Linked DNA regions of Danio rerio. The protein of the gene in region 1 binds, or shares a complex with, the protein of each later gene. Links are inferred from orthologs where the notes say so. Each region holds a gene or a part of one and is shown on either strand. Other genes may lie near its edges. The genes, in order: synrg and aftpha.

What was found.
Region 2: synrg (region 1) and aftpha share a complex: the UniProt entries of both Homo sapiens proteins name them as parts of the aftiphilin/p200/gamma-synergin complex. The link is inferred for Danio rerio from reciprocal best matches to the Homo sapiens genes SYNRG and AFTPH.

Annotation. Positions count from the first base shown.
Region 1 is NC_133190.1:18,372,084-18,375,910, reverse strand, and holds part of synrg (synergin gamma), read left to right. Parts: intron 1-436; coding exon 437-1,390; intron 1,391-3,827. UniProt on the Homo sapiens protein: Plays a role in endocytosis and/or membrane trafficking at the trans-Golgi network (TGN). May act by linking the adapter protein complex AP-1 to other proteins. Component of clathrin-coated vesicles.
Region 2 is NC_133176.1:58,591,444-58,594,628, forward strand, and holds the end of aftpha (aftiphilin a), read left to right. Parts: coding exon 1-64; intron 65-291; coding exon 292-415; intron 416-2,070; coding exon 2,071-2,221; 3' UTR 2,222-2,500; downstream 2,501-3,185. UniProt on the Homo sapiens protein: Component of clathrin-coated vesicles.

The DNA.
Region 1 (3,827 bases):
TAAAGCAGCTATGCCACCCAATATACATGATCTATATGATTATCAGCCTTAGGCTGTCAGACAATTTTGTAATTGACATAAGGTCACAAACATTGCTTATTGGCCATTTACATCAATCTGAAAATGGCCCCATATTATACATTCGTTGGTCAACTACTTTTTACTTCACCACAAGAAAAGAGTGTGTGTTTGTGTGCTGTGAAATCTTCAGTGAAAATCCCTTTGCCACTTTTTTAGTTCAATTCAGCTGTCAAACACATTTTGCATTGAGCATTACTAATTCATTTTTCTCTTTTAGGCCCATAAAAATGGAACGCTGGGTGACTTGTAGGCAGACTCTGTTTTGTGCAGTGCCAGCTTTCTGTCCTTTGTTGTTTGGGTGTGAAATGTGGTTTGCTATGCCCTTCAATTGTTTTCTTTTTCAATTTTTCCACAGGGGAGGGATTTGCTGATTTCAAGTCTGTCAGTGCCGATGATGGCTTCACAGACTTTAAAACAGCCGACACCGTCTCTCCACTAGACCCACCAGACCAGGCCAAGTTTCAGCCAACCTTTCCTCCTCCTTTTGCTTCCTCTCAGTCCCTGTCCCATTCTCAGCCAGCCTCTCTGGCTCAACCTAGAAATCCTCTCAATATGGCAGACCTGGATCTCTTCACGACAATGGCTCCTCCCACGTCCACTGCAGACTCTAAACTCAACCTGTTCCCTTCCGCTCCTCCATCCTTGGTATTGCCCTCGGCAGTTGTGAAACCTCCCAGCATGGGGGGTGATGACTTTGGCGATTTTGCCCTTTTTGGCTCCTCCTCATCCTCCGAAGTAGCTCCCACCACCTCTGCTGCTGGTAGAGGAGCTAGTACAACGGTTCAGGATGACTTTGCTGACTTCATGGCATTTGGCAGCTCGAGAGATCAGAGAAGTGAGACCAGCTCAAGAGAAGGCAATAGCGAAGGCCAGACAGAGACATCCCAACAGAGGCACCAAATCGGTACTGATAAATACGACGTCTTCAAACAGCTTTCTCTAGAAGGTGGACTGGCCTACGATGATAACAAAGAAAGTGGTGGGGGCTCCTTTTCGTCACTCAAGAGTGACAATGACGACTTTGCGGATTTTCAGTCCTCCAAATTCTGTACGGCGCTGGGTGCGTCCGACAAGAGCCTGGTGGACAAAGTGGCTGCCTTCAAGCAGGCCAAAGAGGACTCCACCTCAGTGAAGTCCCTGGACCTCCCATCCATCGGGGGCAGCAGTGTGGGGAAGGAGGACTCTGAGGATGCGCTTTCAGTACAGCTAGACATGAAGCTGTCGGACATGGGTGGAGACCTGAAGCATGTGATGTCTGATAGCTCCTTAGACCTCCCTGGTTTGTCGTCCCATCAACCCCCAGCCGCAGGTGAGGAATTAGTACGCTTGCTCTGGTGAAGTCTGTTCTTTATTTCGCAAATGCTCAGACCACTGAGGCCTCTCAAAGGCAGAACAAGATGCCCAGCTGGAACGCTGTATGTGTTCATTGTGGCTGAGTTGTAGTTACATATCAAAAACTTGATGCACATCATATCATGCAGTCATTTTCAAATCAAGTTATATACATTTCCAGTTTAATCATGCACAGTTGTAAGGCTACAGTATTTATTGTTGTTTATATTTATTTATTTATTTAATTAATTTAGGTTGTGTATTATGAATTTTTACCAGTCAAAACTTGTGCTTGTAAGTTTAAATCTCATGAGATTAATACTATTGCTAACAGCACAATAACTGGTATGATTAACTCCTAGTGTTATCAGGTGATCAGGCAGTTACAAAAGCACAGTTATATGCAGTATTCAATTCTAATAGCTTGTGACTTGGTTTTCTCTCCTGTTTTACGTATGTTCGTGTTGCTTTAATACCATTCCTCATTGACTATCCAGTTTTCCTTGCTTTTTTAAACATGTTAGTTTGCCTGTATGATAAATCAGCCATTTTAATTTACCAGTTTTTCAGTATTTACGCTCCATACTGACATTTTGGAACTGATAAAATTTAAATCCATTCGTTCTGTTGTGATTGTAATATCATCATCATCTTCATCACTTGATGAACTATCAATCTAAGTGACAGTACAGTATCAAGAGAATGAAAATAGATTGGTCAATAATGAGAACCGAAAAAGAAGTATATGAACATTTTACACACAAAATTTGTAATTATTCTGATGCTGAATGAGATGCAACACAGAGGCATTATGCAATACCTTAAACGTGAATTTGAAAGCATTATTTTATTTAACACAATCCTGCAAATAATATGCTCTAGGCCTGTCATGATATTTATTTTTTTGTGGCACAATATATTGCACCAAAAATTATTGCGATAAACAATAATATTCTCATTTTATAACCATTTTTAATCTATAATTGCATCGTAATGCAAGTATTTTCTTCCAAAGAACACATAATATTTTATTCTTAAGAATTTTTCATTTAACTACAGTGCATCCGGTAAGTATTCATAGCGCTTCACTTTTTCCATATTTTTTTATGCTACAGCCTTATTTCAAAATGGATGAAATTCATTTATTTCCATAAATTCTACACACAATACCCCATAATGACAATGTGAAAAAACAGTTTTTTGAAATTGTTGCAAATTGATTAAAATAAAAAAATTCTGAAAAATCACATGTACATAAATATTCACAGCCTTTGGTCAATACTTTGTTGATGCACCTCTTGGCAGCAATTAGAGCCTCAAGTGTTTTTGAATATGATGCCACAAGCTTAGCACACCTGTCTTTAGGAATTTTTGCCCATTCGTCTTTGCAGTACCTCTCAAGCTCTATCTGGTTGGATGGGAAGCGACAGTATTCAGCCATTTTCAGATGTCTCCAGAGATGGCTGGGCCACTCAAGCAGTTGTTGTGAAGCTACTCTATTGATATTTTGGCTGTGTGCTTTTGGGTCATTGTCCTGCTGGAAGATGAACCATTGCCCCAGTCTGAGGTCAAGAGCTCAAGAGCAACGCATACGGCCACGGCGTAGGGCTATGCGTCAACGCATAGACTGTGCCGTAGCATACCGTGCGCTTGACGCAGAAGGATAAATCAGCCTTAAGAATACTCCTGGTGGTTCCAAACATCTTCTACTTACCTATAGAGGTCACTGCTCATTGGAACTTTCAGAGCAGCAGATTTTTTTTTTTGTTATCTTGCCCAGCCTTGTGCTTCGAGGCAATCCTGTTTCGGAGGTCTATAGACAATTCCCTTGTCTTATTGGTTTGTGCTTTTGACATGCACTGTCAACCCTGGGACCTTATATAGACAGGTGTATGCCTTTTCAAATCATGTCCAATCAACTGAATTTACCACAGGTGAACTCCAATTAAGCTGCTAAAACATCTTAAGAATGATCAGTGGAAACAGAATGTACCTGAGCTCAATTTAGAGCTTTTACGACGAAGGCTGTGAATACGTACGTACATGTGATTTATCAGGGTTTTTATTTTTAACAGATTTGCAACAATTTCAAAAAATCTTTTTTCCCATTGTCATTATGGGGGTATTGTGTGTAGAATTTTGAAGAAATTAATGAATTTATTCCGTTTTGGAATAGGCTGTAACATAAAAAAATGTGTAAAAAGTGAAGCCCTATAAATATTTCCGGATGCACTGTATAGTCATTTTAACAATTTACTATTTAGACTAGGGTTGGGCATCTAAGCTATAATGCCGATCCGATACGCATCTCGATACAAAGAATAAGATCCGATATATTTGCGATACATTTGTGACATATTGCGATGCAACACATTACGATTCACACCCATATCATGATACAATGCGATAATTCA
Region 2 (3,185 bases), on another chromosome or scaffold:
CTCAACCTCGATTTTTTCGGCCCAGTGGATGAATCGCCCTCCGGCACGGCCACCTCTATTCCAGGTTTGACCAAACCTTTCTGTTTTAACACCAAATCTCTTTCTCTCTGTGTGTGTGTGTGTCTGTGTGTGTGTGTGTGTGTGTGTGTCCGTTCTTCTGCTCTGTTTGCATCTGTATCTTTAACTCTCTGTTTAAACTAGTGTTTTTGCATGTGTGTCTATGTGGGTGGTTGACAAATGTGCAGTAAATGTGTTTATTTGTTTTGTGTGTGTGTGTGTGTGTGTGTGCAGGTGTTGACCCAGAGCTGTATGAGTTGACCCAGGTAAAGCTGGAGGTCAGCGGGGGCAGCAGTCGAGTGGTGGATGCATTTGCTCGCCTCATGTCGACTGTAGAGAAGACCAGCACCTCCACCAGGTCAGTGAAACTCATTCACTCTCCACCAGAGGGAGCCGCACTGCAGTTCAGAATGAGTTCAGAACAGCACTGCTCTCAACTGTTCTGATGCATTGATATTAGTGTACACATATCAAAATGTTGAAACATTTACTCATATATGATCTGATCTGATCTTTCTTTCTCTGTTTAGTCTGATCTCACTCTCTCTATCTGATTGGTATTGCTATGATTTCTCTGATCTCTCTTAGATTGGTCTAATCACTCTTTGTGATTTGTCTGATCTTTCTCTGATTTTTATTCTTCTTTCCCAGACTAGTCTGATTTCTCTTTAATTGGTCTGATCTCTCTTTGATTGGTCTGATCTCTCTTTAATTGATCTTATCTCCCATTAATTGGTCTGATCTCTTATTGATGGGTCTGATCTCTCTTTAATTGGTCTGATCTCTTATTGATGGGTCTGATTTCTCTTTAATTGGTCTGATCTCTTATTGATTGGTCTGATCTCTCTTTGATTGGTTTCATCTTTCTTTCTGTTTACTCTGATCTCTTTTTATATGGTCTGATCTCTCTTTGATTGGTCTGGTCTTTATTTCCCAGAATGGTCTGATCTTTCTTTCTGGTTGGTCTGTTTTTTTTTAGTTGTCTGATCTCTTGGTCTGGTTAGTCTGATTTCTCTTTGATTTGTCTGATCTTTCTTTCTGATTGGTCTGATCTCTTTCTTTGATTGGTCTGATCTTTCTTTCTAATTTGGTCTGATCTCTCTATCTAATTGGTCTGATCTCTTTTTTTCTCTCTGATTGGTCTAATCTTTCTTTCTGATTGTTCTGATCTTTTTTTGATTGGTCTGATCTCTCTTTGGTTGGCCTGATCTTTATTTCCCAGATTTGTCTGATCTCTTTGATTGGTCTGATCTCTCTGTCTAGTTAGTCTGATTTCTCTTTGATTTGTCTGATATTTCTTTATAATTTGGTCTGATCTTTTTATCTGATTGGTATGATCTTTTTCTCTCTGATTGGTCTAATCTCTCTTTTTTTATTACTGGTCTGATCTCTGATGTCCCTTTCTCTGTAGTTGGTATAATCTCTCTTTCTGATTGGTCTGATTTCTGATGCCTATTTCTCTTTGATTGGTCTCGCCTCTATCTCTCTTTAACTGGTCTGATCTCTCAGTCTGGTTAGTCTGATTTTTTTTAATTGGTTTGATCTCTCTGTCTGATTGGTCTGATCTCTCTTTAATTGGTCTGATCTCTCGGTCTGGTTAGTCTGATCTCTGTTTAGTTGGTCTGATCTTTCTTTCTGATTGGTCTGATCTCTATTTCTTTAATTGATCTGATCTTTCTCACTGATTGGTCTGATCTCTGTCTGATTGGTCTGATCTCTGTCTGATCTCCCTCTCTCTTTCTCTCTCTGATTGGTCTGATCGCTCTTTCTTTGATTGGTCTGATCTCTATCTGATTGGACTGCTCTCCCTATTGATCTGACTTCTCTCTCTCTCTCTCTCTCTGATTGGTCTGATCTCTGATTGATCGGATCTCCCTGATCGATCTGATCTCTCTCTCCTCTCCCTCTCTCTCTTTTTGTCTGATTGCTCTGATCTCTCTTTCTCTGATAGGTCTGTTCTCTCTGATCATTCTGATCTCTCTGTCTGATTATTCTGATCTCTCTCTCTCTCAGCAGAAAGCCAGTGCCGAAGGAGGAGAATCTGAGCCCGGAGGCTCAGCGGGTGATCTCAGGCCTGCCGGATCTGTCCTTCATGCAGGCTAAAGTGCTGATGTTTCCCTCCACACTGACTCCTCTCCTGCCCTCGTCCTCTACGCCCGACTGACGCGCTCTTTTCCTCTCTTTCATTGTGTATCGCTCTCCAGCTCCACAATATTCGACCCCGTCTATGATTTTAATGCCATCCTTTCAGTTCTCTAGCTCTCGTTCCTCATTCTGCCCGTTTTTAAGTTCAAATACATCGTCCGGTACGTCAGAGAGAGAGTGCTAATCGGCTCAATTTGGCAGGATTAGATCATTTTATTCGTAGATTGATTGTAGGAAGAGTTTGTGTTAATATTAGAGCCAATCTGTATATAATCAGGGATGAGACTTTGTTTTCCTTTCGAGTGTTCTTCACCGTTACGTTAGTGTGTATGAGAGAGAAACCGAGGCACTTTGTTATTTTCCATGGTTTGTTTTTATGAAACACTGGCTTAAAAGTCCTTCAGCGGCACAAATGAGGATGTGAATGATCAGATTTGTACTTAGATTATATATAAATGCGTAGTTATATCGACTTGAAACCAAACCGCCTGCAAATTTCTCGATTTCTTTGGGGTTTTTTTGCATAACAAAGGCCTTAGTTTTTCATCATTACGGCTGACGTTAGGATTTATATCGTTAAAACTTTCGTAGGTTTCAGTTTTGTTGATTTCCCACATGCATTAGCGAACACTTCACGTTTCTGTTGTGCACATTATTGATTAATTATTGATTATCTTGATTTCACTCTGACAGATTTAGCTTTAATATCTAGCTGCTCATCTTTTGTTATTTTAACAATTTTTTTAATGCTAGTTGAAACCACTGGCTTCCGACTGTAATGTAGTGAAGGAATCGTTGAGTGAATGATTAACTTGGATATATATAAATATATAGATGTATCGAGAATAAGGGACCAATATCTGCTGTAACAGTTTGCTGATTTCCCTGTGTTTTCGGTCATGCTGTTTTATTTAATCTCTCGTGACTCCTCTGGAGGACGTCTGCCATCATTGTGGATTGCGTGATGGGAAACGTCCGCCTGA